4 linked regions of the Macaca fascicularis genome follow. The protein of the gene in region 4 interacts with the protein of the main gene of each other region in a pairwise test. Links are inferred from orthologs where the notes say so. Each region holds a gene or a part of one and is shown on either strand. Other genes may lie near its edges. The genes, in order: CDKN1A, PRTFDC1, TRIM23 and FLAD1.

What was found.
Region 1: the proteins of FLAD1 (region 4) and CDKN1A interact in a two-hybrid assay, tested with the Homo sapiens proteins (2 studies listed by BioGRID and IntAct). The link is inferred for Macaca fascicularis from reciprocal best matches to the Homo sapiens genes FLAD1 and CDKN1A.
Region 2: the proteins of FLAD1 (region 4) and PRTFDC1 interact in binary tests that used the Homo sapiens proteins (3 or more experiments, as listed by UniProt). The two-hybrid records come from large-scale screens. The link is inferred for Macaca fascicularis from reciprocal best matches to the Homo sapiens genes FLAD1 and PRTFDC1.
Region 3: the proteins of FLAD1 (region 4) and TRIM23 interact in binary tests that used the Homo sapiens proteins (3 or more experiments, as listed by UniProt). The two-hybrid records come from large-scale screens. The link is inferred for Macaca fascicularis from reciprocal best matches to the Homo sapiens genes FLAD1 and TRIM23.

What each region holds. Positions count from the first base shown.
Region 1 is NC_088378.1:134,986,303-134,991,286, reverse strand, and holds the start of CDKN1A (cyclin-dependent kinase inhibitor 1), read left to right. Parts: upstream 1-1,529; 5' UTR 1,530-1,755; exon of another isoform or gene 1,756-1,806; intron 1,807-4,984. UniProt on the Homo sapiens protein: Plays an important role in controlling cell cycle progression and DNA damage-induced G2 arrest. Involved in p53/TP53 mediated inhibition of cellular proliferation in response to DNA damage.
Region 2 is NC_088383.1:25,635,211-25,639,536, forward strand, and holds part of PRTFDC1 (phosphoribosyltransferase domain-containing protein 1), read right to left. Parts: intron 2,153-4,326; coding exon 2,135-2,152; intron 746-2,134; coding exon 663-745; intron 1-662. UniProt on the Homo sapiens protein: Has low, barely detectable phosphoribosyltransferase activity (in vitro). Binds GMP, IMP and alpha-D-5-phosphoribosyl 1-pyrophosphate (PRPP). Is not expected to contribute to purine metabolism or GMP salvage.
Region 3 is NC_088380.1:71,307,948-71,312,273, reverse strand, and holds part of TRIM23 (E3 ubiquitin-protein ligase TRIM23), read left to right. Parts: intron 1-340; coding exon 341-462; intron 463-2,684; coding exon 2,685-2,963; intron 2,964-3,515; coding exon 3,516-3,698; intron 3,699-4,326.
Region 4 is NC_088375.1:106,160,476-106,165,379, reverse strand, and holds the start of FLAD1 (FAD synthase), read left to right. Parts: upstream 1-1,533; 5' UTR 1,534-1,592; exon of another isoform or gene 1,593-1,860; intron 1,861-2,398; 5' UTR 2,399-2,542; coding exon 2,543-2,623; intron 2,624-4,904. UniProt on the Homo sapiens protein: Catalyzes the adenylation of flavin mononucleotide (FMN) to form flavin adenine dinucleotide (FAD) coenzyme.

The sequences.
Region 1 (4,984 bases), on a different chromosome or scaffold from region 4:
CTGGCCTGACTCTAGGACCAGGCAGGCCGAGGGGGTCTGCTGCTGTGTCCTCCCACCCCTACGGGCTCCCATTCACACAGCAGAGGAGAAAGAAGCCTGTCCTCCCTGAGGTCAGCTGCGTTAAAGGAAGAAGACTGGGCATGTCTGGGCAGAGATTTCCAGACTCTGAGCAGCCTGAGATGTAAGTAATTGTAGCTGCTCCAAGCCTGGGTTCTGTTTTTTAGTGGGATTTCTGTTCAGATGAACAATCCATCCTCTGCAATTTTTTAAAAGCAAAACTGCAAATGTTTCAGGCTCAGAAAGGAGGCAAAGGTGAAGTCCAAGGGAGGGCAGGGGTGTGCGGTAGATGGGAGCGGATAGACTTGTCATTCATCTCTGTGTCTGTCAGAAGCACCAGTAGACACTTCCAGAGTTGTCCTTTATTTATGTCATCTCCATAAACCATCTGCAAATGAGGGTTATTTGGCATTTTTGTCATTCTGGAGCCACAGAAATAAAGGATGACAAGCAGAGAGTCCTGGGCAGGAGGCAAAAGGCCTGTGTTCCAACTATAGTCATTTCTTTGCTGCATGATCTGAGTTAGGTCACTAGACTTCTCTGAGCCCCAGTTTCCCCAGAAGCGTACAGGGGCTGTGTGGGGAGTATTCAGGAGACAGACAACTCACTCGTCAAATCCTCCCCTTCCTGGCCAACAAAGCTGCTGCAACCACAGGGGTTTCGTCTGTTGAGGTGAGTGTAGGGTGTACAGAGATTGGTTCAATGTCCAATTCTTCGGTTTCCCTGGAGATCAGGTTGCCCTTTTCTGGTAGTGTCTCCAATTGCCTCCTTCCTGGAAGCATGTGACAATCAACAACTTTGTATACTTAAGTTCAGTGGACCTCAATTTCCTCATCTGTGAAATAAACGAGACTGGAAAAGCATTCCGGCCTCAAGATGCTTTGTTGGGGTGTCTAGGTGCTCCAGATGCTTCTGGGAGAGGTGACCTAGTGAGGGATCAGTGGGAATAGAGGTGATATTATAGAACTTTTCTGGAAATTGCAGAGAGGTGCATCGTTTTTATTATTTATGAATTTTTATTTATTAATGTCATCCTCCTGATCTTTTCAGCTGCATTGGGTAAATCCTTGCCTGCCAGGTCGGACTCCCCGACCCCCAGAGTGGATCAACGGTGGGCCAGAAAGGGGGCTCATTCTAACAGTGCTGTGTCCTCCTGGGGAGTGCCAACTCATTCTCCAAGTAAAAAAAGCCAGATTTGTGGCTCACTTCGTGGGGAAATATGTCCAGCGCACCAACGCAGGCGAGGGACTGGGGGAGGAGGGAAGTGCCCTCCTGCAGCACGCGAGGTTCCGGACCGGCTGGCCTGCTGGAACTCGGCCAGGCTCAGCTGGCTCGGCGCTGGGCAGCCAGGAGCCTGGGCCCCGGGGAGGGCGGTCCCGGGCGGCGCGGTGGGCCGAGCGCGGGTCCCGCCTCCTTGAGGCGGGCCCGGGCGGGGCGGTGGTATATCAGGGCCGCGCTGAGCTGCGCCAGCTGAGGTGTGAGCAGCTGCCGAAGTCAGTTCCTTGTGGGGCCAGAGCTGGGCGCGGATTCGCCGAGGCACCGAGGCACTCAGAGGAGGTGAGAGAGCGGCGGCAGACAACAGGGGACCCCGGGCCGGCGGCCCAGAGCCGAGCCGAGCGTGCCCGCGTGTGTCCGTGCGTGTCCGCGAGGATGCGTGTTCGCGGGTGTGCGCTGCGTTCACAGGTGTTTCTGTGGCAGGTGAATGACGGGCGTGGATCGGTGCGCGCTCGGCTTGCGCACACGGTATCTGTAAGTGCGCGGGTGACGGGGGTCGGGATGTGCCGGAGACCCGGGGCAGAGAGCGGGATTACCAGTACAGGGATCCCCGGTCACGATCCCCGCCCCTGGAAACCCAGCTGGGGCGAGGGAGGGCGTGGACCGGACTGCTCTGAGAGCTCGCCTTTGGCTGCGGTTGGCTGCAGGCCCCAGGCGCAGTTTGCTCGCGGCCTGGGGATGAAGTCCGTGTCCCTGGAGGGGCCCAGGAGGGGCGAGGAAAGCGGAGTGGAGTAAATTCGTCTAGGATCGGTCCTAGGCGGCTCTCGGATCCAACTGGCGCCGCCCTGGCCCAGGTCCCAGGTTCAGGTCCTCTACGCCACTGTGTCCACCACCTGGCTGGGCACTGAGGTCAGCGCGGGCTGTTTCCCGGCCCTTGGGAGTGTGCCAGGACACGTCCCCTAAGGACAAACGAGGAGGTGACTCACTGTGACAAGGAGACCCCAGGGAACGGACTGTATGAGGTCAGAACCCCGCCCGGGAAGGGGTACAATGGGACTCCCGAAGCCCTCTCCCCTGCCCCGCCGCGGTCTCCGTCCTCCCATCGGCACAGTGACCTATTTGGCTGGAACAGCTTGTTCCCAGGGAAGCAGGGCACCGGAGGTCCAGGACACCGCGTCGGGTCCCCGCTTCGCTAGGGGTCGGGGAGTCACGACTCTGCGCTGGGCGGGCTCCAACCAGCCTGTCAGTCGGGGAAGGGCAAGGGTCTCCTCTAACTCTTTCCCACCGCGGCCGGGAGAATCACGGCCCAGCCTGCCCTCGGGTCGGGGCGCTGGACTCCGGGGCGAGAGCAGAGCCCACGCCTGGGTGGGAGGTGGTAAGGGGTCAGGTCTTTGCGGGGTGGGGATTCTGGGGGGCACGACGCTGCTCAGGGCCTCCATCAGCTGCCTCGGTGGCGCCCCGACCTAGCCCAGATTCCCTCTCGGAAAGCGACAGGGCTGAGCGGAGCAGGGGGGCGAGTCGCCCCCTGGGGCGCCGCCACTTGGCGCGGATCACAGCGCATCCTCTCGGTCCAGAACCCCTGGGGGACACTTGCGCCCTCTTCGTGCGGAAAAGCATCTTGGAGCTGGGTTTGGAACTTGGGGCGCCCAGGCAGCTTCCCCTCTCCTTCCCTCCCTCCACGTCGCGTTTCTGGGAGGACTTGCGAGCGGTTTTGTTTTCGTTGCTCCCGTCTATTTTTATTTTCCAGGGATCTGACTCATCCCATGCTTTGGGCGTGGAGATAAGGTGGAGGGGTCGGCTCCCGGCGCGTGTGTGTGTGTGCGCGCGCGCGCGTGTGTGCGTGTGTGTGTGTGTGTGTGTCAGAGACGGCACAAGAGCGCGCGGTTTCCCAACAGCGGCGGGAGTTTCGGAAGCCTGGCCGGCTCAGCGTGACGTGTTCGCGGCGCCCCCCCGCTGTCCCCTCCCATGCTCCCCCTCCCCACCCCAGGGTGACGCGCAGCCGGAGTGGAAGCAGAGTTTTGGCGGGCGAGCAGCGCCTTGCAGGAAACTGACTCATCACTACTCCCTCCCGCAGTCCGAGGCTCTGCCCACGCACCTCCCACCCCGCGCGTGATTTCCTGGAGGCCGGCGCCCCCTCCCGGCCCTGGCGGTAATAGCACACCGGCTTTCCCGCGGAGTGGGGCTGGCCGGCGCGAACCGCCGCGGCTACTCCGAGAATAACCCCTATGCCATTACCACCCCTTCAAAGGAGCACTCCTTAGATTCAACAGTATTTACTGAGCTCTTACTGGAAATTAAAATATGGCTGAAGTCTAAGGCAGCAAAGCCAATAAAGGAGGCTATTTTCAGTTGTTTGTAAAACACGGGTTTACGTTTCTGTTTTCTTTGGGCTGAAAGTTATTATGACAATGAGCATGAGAGCAGATTTTGATGGGCGAGGAGAGGCCTATAAGAGCCATAAGAGAAGGATGGGTGGTAGAAGAGGAGAGGGTACCTGCCTAGATCCTAGTCCTGTCTTGAGCTCCCGGGAGCCAGGGAATATCCAGCTCCTTGATGAAGCCCTAGGCGGGCTCCTCCTCCTTGTGCCTATGATGTATTGAGACCAAGAATGTCCATTTCAAACACACCAGTGTGTCCCCCTTTGGCTGGCACCCCAAGAGTGCCCATCTGAGGAACGGTGCCAAACACTTGCTTGAAACTTCAATTTGGATTAAGTTGGTCTCAAGAGGCAGGGATTTTTCAAAATCTATATTTTGAAAAAGCTCCCTAGGTGCTTCTTTCTTTCTTTCTTTCTTTATTTCTTTCTTTCTTTCTTTCTTTCTTTCTTTCTTTCTTTCTTTCTTTCTTTCTTTCTTTCTTTTCTTTCTTTCTTTCTTTCTTTCTTTCTTTCTTTCTTTCTTTCTTTCTTTCTTTCTTTCTTTCTTTCTTTCTTTCTTTTTCTTTCCTGCCTGCTTGCTTGCTTGCTTGCTTTCTTTCTTTCTCTCTCTCTCTTTTTCTTTCTTTCTCTTTCTTTCTTTCTTTCTTTCTTTCTTTCTTTCTTCCTTCCTTTCTTCCTTTCTTCCTTTCTTTCTTCCTTCCTTCCTTCCTTCCTTCCTTCCTTCCTTTCTTTCTTTCTTTCTTTCTTTCTTTCTTTCTTCCTTCCTTTCTTCCTTTCTTCCTTTCTTTCTTTTTCTTTCCTGCCTGCTTGCTTGCTTGCTTGCTTGCTTGCTTGCTTGCTTGCTTTCTTTCTCTCTCTCTCTTTTTCTTTCTTTCTCTTTCTCTTTCTTTCTTTCTTTCTTTCTTTCTTTCTTTCTTTCTTTCTTCCTTCCTTTCTTCCTTTCTTCCTTTCTTTCTTCCTTCCTTCCTTCCTTCCTTCCTTCCTTCCTTCCTTCCTTCCTTCCTTTCTTTCTTTCTTTCTTTCTTTCTTTCTTTCTTTCTTTCTTTCTTTCTTTCTTTCTTTCTTTCTTTCTTTTCTTTCTTCCTTCCTTTCTTTCTTTCTTTCTTACAGAGTCTCACTCTCACCCAGGCTGGAGTGCAATGGCACCATCCTGGACTCAAGCAGTCCTCCTGTTTCATCCTCCCAAGTAACTGGGACCACAGGTGTGACCCTCCATGCCCAGCATTTTTTTTTTTTTTTTTTTTGAGACGGAGTCTCACTCTTTTGCCCAGGCTGGAGTATAGTGGCATGATCTTAGCTCACTGCAACCTCCACCTGCTGGGTTCAAGCAATTCT
Region 2 (4,326 bases), on a different chromosome or scaffold from region 4:
CAGTGTGTTATGATCACACTACTGTGATCATAGAGCAAGACCCTGTCTCTTGCTCTAAAAAAGGTCTGGGTGCAGTGGCTCATGCCTGTAATCCTAGCACTTGGGGCGGCTGAGGCAGGCAGATCACTTGAGGTCAGGAGTTCAGACCATCCTGGCCAACATGGTGAAACCCTAGCTCATCTCTGCTAAAAATACAAAACATTAGCTAGGCACGGTGGCGGGCGCCTGTAGTCCCAGCTACTTGGGAAGCTGAGGCATGAGAATTGTTCGAACTCAGAGGGCAGAGGTTGCAGTGAGCTGAGATTGTGCCACTGCACTTCAGCCTGGGCGACAGAGAAAGGCTGTGTCTCAACACAAACAAACAAAAAAATGAAGGGAGAAGAGCAATTGCACGGGGGCTCATCCAGCTGCTCCTGGAAACAGCTAATGGAGGCTCAGTAAAGAGGAACTCAGAAACATGGCGAAGCACGTCTTCTTCCCTTTCTTCTCTCAGGCTAGCAGTCAAGGGCTGCTTTTCAGTGTGGTCAAACTGTAATACCCCAGGGGAAAAGGTCACTAGATTGGAATATATTATACTGTTTGGAAAGAGCATCCTGTGTTAGCATACCTTTTGGGCTTGCTTGGAAAACCAGAAATCACCATGCTATGAATGTCCAACTCACCTGGCTACCTTAACCATGTTGGGCTTGTATTTCTCTATATTGCTGAGTAGTGCTTTCATGGTCCTCCCAGTTCCGACGACATCCTTTGCAGAAAGGACAGATAAATTCAACAAAGTGCATCTGAGCAGCACAACAGACTTTTCATCCAGGGCGATACTCCTGATTAATAATGCATCGTAATTAAAAATGCCATCCAATTTGGAGCCAAAGGAGGAGGAGGAGTGGGTTATGTTTTATCTAGACAGGCACTTCCTTCTGGAAGCTGAGTTTTGGGGAATCTACCGGAGACTCTTTCCTCCTTGAATCCTTTAGCTGTGTTGAAGGGCCAAATTTAGCCTTTGGACAGCATGTGGGACTCCTCATTGAGTACATTTGGACTCGCGTATGCACATTCAAGGACTAAATTTGGCCCTGAGGTTATGTAACACAATACAAGGCACATGAATTTTCATGGATATGTACATCTGAATACACTGAATGGATAAATGCCTCCCCCTCATCCTCCCCCACTCAATAGGGCATTCTATGGCTGGGAAGTGAGAGGTGTCTGGACAGCAGCTGGTGACAGCCTGTGAATTCTGAGGGTCCACGGCTGCAGTGAGCTCGGGCTCATCTCCGCTGATGAGCTGCTGCACAATTAGAGGAGAATGGGCAGCCGCGATTTATTGTCCTAAGGACAGGAATCAGCTGTCACGAGCTGATTATCAAAACAACAGGTCTGAATGTAACCAGGCTTGGGCAATTCATTTGGTGAGAGGGTCTGCTCCATGGGTTATACTGAGCAAGAACTCCAGATACACATGGCGCACACAGGCAATTGTGTAGCAAAAGGTTGAAAATAGCTCCCCTGAATTTTTTGCTGTTTGATGAGACGAGCATGCTCCTGAAGGAAACGTGGCCATTTGCTGTATTAGTCCACTACTGCCATAGGGATCCCACGTTCTCTTTTTTAACAGAAAAACAAACGTAAAACAAAACAAAACAAAACCAAAAAAACCCAAAACCATAGCTTTCCCCATAGCTCACCATTTTTAATTGATTGTGTTTATGATTTTGATGCTGAAAGTATTTGAGAATTCTCAAAATCGTCAGAGGTCCTTAGCAAAAACACTGAATTCAGGGCAAACAGAGTTCTAACCTTGGTTTCATTGTGAAATGAATTTGGTTCGGTGAGCTAGTTTCCTCTTCTTTAAACTTGTCTGATTCACAAAGAACCATAAGAATCAACACAGAGATACGTGGAACTGGATACACAAAAAGGACAAAGTCGTCCACAAATATTGTTGCCAAGCTCTTATTCTACATTATTTGAAATCAGGGATGCTATTTGGCCCGTATTCATTAAATTTGGAGAGCATGCACCCAGTGGGAGCTCAAGAAATCCTTGGTCAATTTGATAACAAGGTGTGCAGTTTAAAACTCACCATTAGAGTCTTTCAACCTCCAAGTATGGAAAGGAAATGCCAGCTTACCTCAACAATGAGAACATTCTGAAATAAACAAAACCCGTATTTTAGAATGCGATGCCAATCTGACTCACAGGATACATACACATTTTTTTGCTTATAGTTAGAATTTCACAATTTGCTCAGACAGTCCTTCCCCATCCATCTAATTCAAAGGACTAGAGGTGATCTAGGTTTTCCAGATTCATTTTAACAGGTCCTCCGGCATTAGTTGGTGATGCAATGTTAGTATCTATATTTAGGTTAGAAACAAGCTTATGTTAGACCTGTCTGACGAGCTCTCCATAAAGTCATCCCTTCTCAGTAATTCTGCCAAGGGCCTCCCACCCCCACCTGGGAGGCAAAGCCTGTTAAGAGTTTCCCAGGAAAACAATGCAACATGAACCGCATCACTAACGGAGATTGTGCTTGGTAAATGCATCATGGGTTCAGCTGTGACAGCCTTCCTCTTGCACGACCACCAAAATCCCTGGGGACTCAGGATTTCCTCTTGGATTGCCAACCTAGATGAAGACAGTAGGCTAGAGAAAGGACTGGGAGGTGCCTGGTGTGTATTTTTAGTGAGATGGTTAGATTCCTTGCAACAAGGTCTCAAGGCATTCCTCTACCTCTTCCCTAAGCACACTGTGATATGGTTTGGATTTGTGTCCCTGCCCAAATATGCTGAAACGTAATCCTCAGCGCTAGAGGCGGGGCCTGGTGGGAGGTGACTGGATCAGGGGGGTGGGTCTCATGAATGGTTTAGCATCACGTCCCTTGGTGGTGGTGTCCTGATAGTGAGTTGCCCTGAAATCTGGTTGTTTAAAGGTGTAGGACACCTCCCCCTCTTTCTCTTGCTCCATGTCTGTCTCCAGACATGTGAAGTGCTGCTCTCCCTTTGCCTCTGCTATAATTTTTTTTTTTTTTTGAAACAGCATCCCACTCTGTCACCCAGGCTGCAGTGCAGTGGTGCGATCTCCGCTCACTGTAACCTCCGCTTCCCGGGTTCAAGCGATTCTCCCACCTCACCTTCCCACATGGCTGGGATTACAGGTGTGCACCACCACGCCTGGCTAATTTTTGTATTTTCAGTAGAGATGGAGTTTTACCATGTTGGCCAGGCTGGTCACAAACTTAGGAGCTCAAGTGATCTGCCCTTCTTGGCCTCCCAAAGTGCTGGGATTACAGGCACGAGCCGCCACACCCGGCTGCCTTCTGCCATAATTTTAAGTTTCCTGAAGCCTCCCCAGAAGCAGAACAGATGCCAGCGTCATGCTTCCTATACAGCCTGTGGAACTGAGAGCCACCTACACCTTTTCTCTTGATAAATTACCCAGTCTCAGGTATTTCTTTATATCAGTGTGAGGAAGGACTAATACACGATGATTGTACTACATTTTAATTTCTTGTTTGATATGTCTTCCCCACTATATTCTAATCGCCATGAGGTGGGGATCATGTTTGTCTCGATTCCTACCATATTGCCAGAAACTAGCATAATGCCTGCATATAAGTGCTCAATAATTATTTGTTGAATAAAGCAATAACAACTGATTAAACTTATTACTGAGTTAAAACTGACCGATTAATTGGATTAGGAGTGACATGTCAATGCTGCCCCACCAAATTAAAATATGACTGTGTTAATATGCCATCCCAATTTACTAAATGGTGAGACTATTCTTTCAATGTAATGGTGTTTTTCTTTCTTTAGATGACTTTACATTTATCTCTATGATTTATACAATACTTTAAGAATCATGACCCGGCACAGTGGCTCACGCCTGTAATCCCAGCACTTTGGGAGGCCGAGGTGGGTGGATCACCTGAGGTCAGGAGTTCGAGACCAGCCTGGCCAACTTGGTGAAACCCCGTCTCTACTAAAATATACAAAAATTAGCTGGGTGTGGTGGTAGGTGCCTGTAATCCTAGCTACTCAGGAGGCTGAGGCGGGAGAATCACTTGAACCTGGGAGGTGGAGGTTGCAGTGAACCAAGATTGCGCCACTGCACTCCAGCCTGGGTGACAGGTAAGACTCCATCTCAAAAGAAAAAAAAAATCAGATCAAATACTACACATTAGATAACTTACTTATGTTTAATGCAAGATTTAATTAATAAAAATGTTAACCACCCACCCACCAAACCAGCCAACCAACAACTCTGTTAACTTTGCACCATATGTCAAATGCATTCTTATGTGAAAATATCTTCTTGGAA
Region 3 (4,326 bases), on a different chromosome or scaffold from region 4:
GACCATGTTGACCGGGCTGGTCTTGAACTCCTGGCCTTAAGTGATCTGCCCGTCTCAGCCTCCCAAACTGCTGGGATTACAGTCGTGAGCCAATGCGCCTGGCCAAAAAATAATAAATTTTAAAGTGTGTTTCTACTTGGAAGCCTGAGGGATTCTTCTGTTTTTTAAAAGAGAGTATTAACAAAGCAATTATTTTGGTATCAAATAATGGGGAAAATTTGAATTTTTCAAATTTAGACATTAACGACTGAACTATATGGATTAGAAATTACTTTTGAGGTATGGGTAAAACGATTAATAGTCCATTTTGTTAGATTTAGTTTTTGTTTTTATATTCTAGGAGATTCAGGTGTCTGGGGCTTGAAAAAAAATTTTGCTTTATTGGAACTTTTGGAACGACTGCAGAATGGGCCTATTGGTCAATATGGAGCTGCAGAAGAATCCATTGGGATATCTGGAGAGGTATTGATCATACTTGGTGAAATATTTGTTACGAGCATGAATTTTTCTTTTAATATATGCCATTATTAGCACAATATTACCTCATTTAATTCAGCAGGTAAATTTCTAGAAACACAACTTTGCATTACATTACAGTTCTAAAGGCCAGCACTATTCCCAAGAGAAAAAAGTAGAACTAGAATTATTTGAAAATACGATGCCTAAACTATGCCTTATGTGTGAACTTTTTTTCCCTTATCATAATTCAGTTCTACCAAGGATAAAGTGAAAAGAGGAAGAAGATTATAGCATAGTAAGAAAGATAAGTAAGCAACAGTGGAGCAGAGGATGCAAAAGTAAATTAGTCAACAGAAAAACTCAATGAGAGAAAGTAAAACTCCATGTAAGAGGCCATTTAATATACAGGGAAAATTGCCTTAAAGATAGCAGTAGCTTCTGAGGGAATTGTTACTATTCTATCTTCAAGAAAAAGTTAAACTTTGTATAGATGTACTGTCTTTATCCATACAGGTAGATATCTGGTAAATATTAGAATCCATGAACACTGGATTTTTTAATAATGTAAAAGTATATTTTTAGCACTTACGTATTATTTGCACAGCTGCACATATGTACTATAGGACATGGCTTTCATAGGCTATTATGGATAGAAATATATTTGGAGTAAATATCAGTTAATGATTTTGGTGATCAACTTGCAAACCACATATTTGTATCAAGAAAAAAAATGTCGGATTGCTTTCTGCTTCTCTTTTATTAGATGATGATTTCTTTATACTGAAGTGAATCAGTGAAATTAATTTCAAACTGCAACACTCTGTTTTCTAAAATTTCTGCAGTTCTTTCATGTGCTAAATCTTTACTTCAAAAGACATTACTGTTAGCTAATGTTGACTTTATAATTTATAATTTATTTATTTGTCAGGTCTGGAAAACAGAAGACCTGAATTTTTATGGTACATATATACACTTCTTATAATTGCAAACAAAACTCTTCCACTTTGGATTCGTTTTTTATTTAATGTGATAATGAATGACACCACTGATGTATTTAAACATTTTTATTTTTGAAAAAATTTATACTAAATTTCTCCCCTTCCACTTATGGCCTTTTAACGTTTAGTAAAAGTGTTCAAAGCATTCTTGATTATCTGACATGTAATATTTTATCTACTTGAAATAAAAATAATTATTTAGTAATTATTTTTTGTAATTCCTGAAAACTAGAAATAATATTTAGATGCTTACATATAGGTTTTATTTGTTTATTAATTGTTATTTTTTAAGACAGAGTCTTGCTCTGTCACCCTTGCTGGAGTGCAGTGGCGTGATCTCAGTTACCTGCAGTCTCTGCCTCCTGGCTTCAAGTGATTCTTGTGCCTCAGCTACCTGAGTAGCTGGAATTACAGGTGTGCACCACCACACCTGACCAATTTTTGGATGTTTAGTAGAGATAGAGTTTCTCCATGTTGGCCAGACTGGTCTCTTACTCCTGGCCTCAAGTGATTACCTGCCTCAGCCTTCTTAAAGTGCTGGGATTACAGGTGTGAGCCACTGAGCCTGGCCTATTTTTTTTTTTTAATTATTTGCTTAAATCAGTGGTTTTCTGCCATGATTGTGCAATAGACTCACCTGTGGAGCTATTAAAATATGTGGTGTATAATTAGAAAAATATATACAAGTCTAGGGTTCATCCACAACCTGTTGAAATAAGAATTTCTCAGATTAGCGTCCAGACAACTATGTTTTTAAAAGCTTACAGCTAATTCCTACATTTTCTAAATAGTATTTGTGCTTCTGTCCTTCCTGTACATCATCATGACAACTAATACTTAAAGCTATGGGGTTATGTTTAGTATCAGATTTTTGTAGTTTTAAAAAAAGACTTTTGACTTCTCTATGGTTTAGTTTCTTTTGTGTAAAGTGAGGGGATTTGGTGGAAGAGATCTTTGCACCGAATATGAATCTACGAGAATAGTTTTATTTTTGGCTTCAAATTCATAACATATATTGGTCAGTTAATCTTGGAAATAGCTTCTTACCTGTAGAAATGAATGTTTCTCGGATGAGTATTGAATGACCTTTGTGCTTAATGACCAATATATTTTCATATGTAAATATTGGTCAGTAAAGCTAAAAAGATTATGGGATTCTATATTTAAAAATTTGTCATGTTATACTGATTGGGTTCAATTTTAAGGCATTAATTTTTTGTTTATCAGAGCATCATTCGTTGTGATGAAGATGAAGCTCACCTTGCATCTGTATATTGCACTGTGTGTGCAACTCATTTGTGCTCTGAGTGTTCTCAAGTTACTCATTCTACAAAGACATTAGCAAAGCACAGGCGAGTTCCTCTAGCTGATAAACCTCATGAGAAAACCATGTGCTCTCAGCACCAGGTGCATGCCATTGAGTTTGTTTGCTTAGAAGAAGGTTGTCAAACTAGCCCACTCATGTGCTGTGTCTGCAAAGAATATGGAAAACACCAAGGTCACAAGGTATGAATTTAATTATTAATCAATTGGATCACTGTAGCTACTTTACCAGCTCAGTATTCGTTTTCACTGACCTGGTTCTTTATTCTGAAAGTAGGCATTGAAGAAGAGTTAAGTGATGAATGATTGTGTTTGGTAGCATGAAAATAAATGAGAGATTTAATTTCTAAATGTTATTTAAAAAAGAAAAACTTCAAAGAGCGTCATTCTTCACAAAAAAATAGCCTTTGAGCAGGAAACAAACATTCTCTTTGTTTGCATGTTTTCATAATGCACCAGATTGTTTGACAATATTTATGTCTGTTAGCTCTTACTTAGGATATAATTTTAGAGATAGTCTCTTGGTTTCTTATTTAGCAATAAATGTACTTCCAAATTTTAAATTACTTCTTTGCAGTACAGTTTTCTTATAAAGGAGTGAAAGTAAATTATAGTATTTTTCTGTGTTATAAAAGTCACTTGTGGCTGATGCTTTTTTGTATTAACAGGGATTTAAATATTTTTCTATATTATTAGTCAATACTATGAGTTCTTTTCTCATGTTACATTTTATAGCATTCAGTATTGGAACCAGAAGCTAATCAGATCCGAGCATCAATTTTAGATATGGCTCACTGCATACGGACCTTCACAGAGGAAATCTCAGATTATTCCAGAAAATTAGTTGGAATTGTACAGCACATTGAAGGAGGAGAACAAATCGTGGAAGATGGAATTGGAATGGCTCACACAGAACATGTATGGTTTTTTTTTCTTCTTCCCCTTTCTCCTTGTTTTTTATTTTTCATATTTTCACCTTCTACTAAGTATTTAATGAGCAATTACAATTTGCTAGTATTGCACCAGTCATTGGAAAGTTTTTTAAAAGTCCCTGTGTTTAAGGAAGTCATTCATCACGGAACAGAGAGAGTTTTAAATGTGGTGACTATTTTATGGAGGAGAAGTACAGGGTGCTTTGGCATCACAAAACGGGCAATGATTTATGGAGGTCAGAGAAATCTTTAGAGAAGAAACAATGTTTAAACTGAGATTTGAAGAAATTCAGTCAAGGAAAAGAGCAGAATGGGGAATGAATTGTCCCAAGAAGGGAGCAATATGTTAAAATGTTTGGAAGTGAGAATTGGACATATTGTAGAGACTTAAAGAAGCTCACTAGTTAGAGCTTTGAATATTGAATGGGACATGACAAGAAAAGAGGATATGGAGAGTTCAAAGCCAAATCATGCAGGATCTCGTCAGCCATGTTAATAAAGAGTTCAGAACTTAGTTTAAGGACAGTGACGAGCCATTGAAGAATTGACATAGGAATGACATGATCAGATTTTCCTTAAGAAAGGCTGTTTTAAATGTAGAAAATGAATTGGAG
Region 4 (4,904 bases):
ACACAATCTCGGCTTACTGAAAGCTCCGCCTCCCAGGTTCACACCATTCTTCTGCCTCAGCCTCCCGAGTAGCTGGGACTACAGGCGCCCGCCACCGCGCGCGGCTAATTTTTTGTGTTTTTAGTAGAGACGGGGTTTCTCCATGTTGGTCAGGCTGGTCTCCAACTCCTGACCTCAGGTGATCTGCCCGCCTCGGCCTCCCAAAGTGCTGGGACAAGGTGTGGTTTAGCAGTCTTACAAAGAATGAATTTGGCCGGGCGCGGTGGCTCACGCCTGTAATTACAGCACTTTGGGCGGCCGAGGCGGGTGGATCACGAGATCAGGAGATCGAGATCATCCTGGCTATCACGCTGAAAACCCGTCTCTACTAAAAAAAAAAAAAATATATATATATATATATATATACACACACAAAAAAAAAAAAAAAAAAAAAAAAAATTAGCCGTGCGTGGTGGCGGGCGCCTGTAGTCCCAGCTACTCGGGAGGCTGAGGCAGGAAAATGGCATGAACCCGGGAGGCGGAGCTTGCAGTGAGCCGAGATCGCGCCACTGCACTCCAGCCTGGGTGACAGAGCGAGACTCCGCCTCAAAAATCAAAAAGAATGAATTCAGGCCCTTACCATTCAAAATGTAGTCCACAGAGCAGTGGGATCACCATCACATGGGAAATAGCTAAATGCAGATCTCAGGCCCCACCCAAACCTACTGAATCAATCTGCATATGAGAAGATCCCCAGATTATTACTGGAAAAAAGTTTAAGATGCACGTTTGGGCCAAAGGCAACTGAAATGGGGGTAAGCTCGGATGATGTGAGGATCCAGAGTAAACATGTAAGGCACTCCCTATTCGCTGCCTCGTTTGCACCTACAAGACCAGTAACTGGGAAAGGTGTCATTTGAACTAAGCACCATCTGGAGCAAGGTGGAGGAAGAGAGGGTTTTGGGACTCTTTCTTGTCAAAGAGGTTTAAGTAATTAGTTTTGTCTATTATACTAGAGATAAGTTAAGGTTCCACACACCAAAAGCTCACCTACTCCAGGGTCTTCATACCCGACAGACAATGGTGATAATCTTTCTCCGTGTCCCTCCAACTTCTGCTACAAAGTAAGATCCCTGCTCACTCCAAAAGCCCTTAGCCTAGTGTTAGAGTCACAGTAAATGAAAATAGCTTAAACCATGGCTAACTGACTCATTAAATAAAACAAAGCAACATATGCATAACAATAATTTGAATCCAGCACCAGAAACACCCCTAGGACCTTACTTCACCTCCAACCACTGCTCCTTTCGCGCCCTAAACTCCTGAGGTCCCGCCCCCGATCGTGGGCTAAGGTCCGGCCCCCGTATTTCCGGGCGAGGGGTGGCCAAGTGATTGTCGCTTATAACAATCAGGCCCTGCTCTCACCTACTGGCTAAAACCTGAGAGCGACAGTTGAATACACCAATGGGACCCTGGAAGAGTCTAAGCGACAGCCAAAATCACCACTCAATGTCAGCTAAGTGTGAATAAGGCGGGACTTTAAGTACGGAAGCTGCCCCGGGACATGAGGAAAGGAACAAGGGAAAGACCCGGTGAAGGGGCAGAACAGGCAGGTGAGAGCCTAGGAGCCCTCAGTAATCTGAAGCTTGGTGGGGACAAGGGATTTCAGGGCTAGAAAGGGTGCAGAAGCCTGAAGTAGAAAGAGACGGGATTTTGGTCCGGGGTGGAGAGAGCGAATGCATTGAAAAGGGCCAAGGCCCAGGATAACGTAGACATTTAAAGGGGCAGATGCCCCGAAGAGACATTCAAAAGGATACAGATGTCCAAGATAGAGCAGACACTTGAGGAGACCAGCTCAGCAAACGGAAGACACTTAAAGCGGTAGGTTCTCAAGAGAGAAGGAGTTTTTAAGACTAGAGTTAAGCTTAGAAGACATTTAAAAGGGCATGGGGGCCGGGCACGGTGGCTCAAGCCTGTAATCCCAGCACTTTGGGAGGCCGAGACGGGCGGATCACGAGGTCAGGAGATCGAGACCATCCTGGCTAACACGGTGAAACCCCGTCTCTACTAAAAATACAAAAAAAAAAAAAAAATAAGCCGGGCGAGGTGGCGGGCGCCTGTAGTCCCAGCTGCTCGGGAGGCTGAGGCAGGAGAATTGCGCGAACCCGGGAGGCGGAGCTTGCAGTGAGCGGAGATCTGGCCACTGCACTCCAGCCTGGGCGACAGAGCCAGACTCCGTCTCAAAAAAAAAAAAAAAAAAAAAAAAAAGGGCATGGGTTGGGATTGGGGAACACGTTTATTAAAGAGGCAGGAATAAAGGAGTCGCTTGTCAAGGATCTGGTTAGAGAAGACTAGGGTCTTCCTCTAAGGAGGAACGTGCACGCCTGCTCTCCCCCATTGTCCTTTCTGGCTTCTCCAGGTTCCCTCGACCCAGGATCCCCTGTTCCCAGGCTATGGCCCCCAGTGCCCTGTAGACCTGGCGGGCCGCCTGTGCTTGCGACCCCTATTTGGGGGTCTAGGTGGCTACTGGAGGGCCTTGCAGAGGGGCAGAGAAGGCAGGACCATGACATCTAGGGCCTCTGAACTTTCCCCGGGGCGCAGCGTGACGGCTGGCATCATCATTGTTGGAGATGAGATCCTTAAGGTGTGTCTGGGACAGAAAAGGGGGGAGGGCGCCGCGTTCTCTTGTCCTTAAGGGCCTGCTGCACATCCCTCCATGGAAGGAAATGAGACAGGGTGGGAGCCTCCTTGCTGCAGTAGGATCCTGGAGTGGATGCAGCATACTGAAGGAAAATTAACCCTCATTCTTTGAATTACTCTACTGAAAAACTTGTAGCAAAGTCCCTACAATTTTTCAACCTGAGAGCTGATTGAAGAAAAATAAAAATAAAAAGGTCATTGCAATTTACCAAGCAGTATGGTAGAGGGCAGAGGGGCTACACAACAATGACAGGAAGCCCCTTGAGTAGAGGAGGTACAGGTGTATGTATTGTATATTTAAGAGTTTTACTCAGCCTTTTTGGAAATGGCTCAAGGATGACAAGGGTTTTTTTATTTTTGAGACAGGATTTTGCTCTGTCAGCTAGGCTGGAATGCAGTGGCACAGTCACAGCTCACTGAAGCCTCCATTTCCAGGCTCAAGCAGCCCTCCTGCCTCAGCCTCTGAAGTTGCTGTGACTACAGGTGTTAGCTACCACACCTGGCTAATTTATTTTTATTTTTTTGCAGAAACAGGGTCTCACTGTGTTGCCCAGGCTGGTCTCAAACTCCTGGGCTCAAGTGATCCTCCCACACCTCATCCTCCCAAAGTGCTGGGATTATAGGCATGAACCGCCGAGCTTGGCCAAATGTCAAGTTTTAATAGTAATCTTTTTTAATATTCTTTGTAAATTTGTCTTTTTTTTTTTTTTTTAAGATAGCGTCTCACTCTGTTGCCCAGGCTGGAGTGCATTGGTGGAATCTCAGCTGACTGCACCTCTACCTCTCGTGTTCAAGCAGTTCTCATGCCTCAGCCACCCGAGTAGTTGGGATGACAGGCATGAGCTACTGCACTCAGCCTTAATAGACCCTTTTTTTTTTTTTTTTTTTTTTAATTTTTGGTAGGGATGGACAGGGTTTCACCATGGCTGGTCTTGAACTCCTGACCTCAAGTGATCCACCCACCTCAGCCTCCCAAAATGTTGGGATTACAGGCGTGAGCCACCGCACCCAGCCCTGACCCCCTATTTTTATTTTTGTATGTGTGTGTATGTGTGTGAGACAGAGTTTCGCTCCTGTTGCTGAGGCTGGAGTGCAAATGGTTGCTCACTGCAACCTCTGCCTCCTAGGTTCAAGCAGTTCTCTCACCTCAGCCTCCCAAGTAGCTGAGATTACAGGCACCTGCCACCACGCCTGTCTAATTTTTGTATTTTTAGTAGAGACGGGATTTCACCATTTTGGCCAGGGTGATGACCCTTATATTTTAAGTGCCTACTAGAGCCTGGCAGTGTGCTATACATCACATATATGTGATTTTACTAATCTTCACAACAACCCTACAAAGTTGGCACTTTTTTTCTTTTTTTTTTTTTTTTTTTTTTTTTTTTTTTTTTTTTTTTTTGAGACGGAGTCTCACTCTGTCGCCCGGGCTGGAGTGCAGTGGCCAGATCTCAGCTCACTACAAGCTCCGCCTCCCGGGTTCCCGCCATTCTCCTGCCTCAGCCTCCCGAGTAGCTGGGACTACAGGCGCCCACCACCTCGCCCGGCTAGCTTTTTGTATTTTTTTAGTAGAGACGGGGTTTCACCGTGTTAGCCAGGATGGTCTCGATCTCCTGACCTCGTGATCCGCCCGTCTCGGCCTCCCAAAGTGCTGGGATTACAGGCTTGAGCCACCGTGCCCGGCCTTTTAAAATTTTATTTTTCTGTGTGTGTTTGTTTTATAAACGGGGTTCTCACAATGTTAAACAGCCCAGCCTCAAGCAATTCTCCCACCTCAGCCTCCCAAAGTGATGGGTTTACAGGCATAAGCCATCTTGCCTAGCCTTTTTTTTTTTTTTTTTTTTTTTTTTTGAGACAAAATCTCACTGTCACCCAGGCTAGAGCTAATTTTTTGTATTTTTGTGTAGAGACAGGGTTTCACCATGTTGCCCAGGCTGGTCTCGAACTCCTAGGCTCAAGCAGTCCTCCCACCTCAGCCTCCCAAAATGCTGGGATTACAGGCATGAGCCACCACACCTGGTCAGCAAAAAAGCCCAATTAATGATTAAACTGAGGGTCAGAGAGGTTGAGAAACCTGCCCAGGGTTACATACCTAGGAAGTTGTAGAGATGGGATTCCAGCCTAATGCCTGATAATCTCTTACTCCAAAACACAAACCCTTTTTTTTTCTTTGGTGACAGGGTCCCTGTCACCCAGGCTGGAGTACAGTGGCACGATCTCGGCTCACT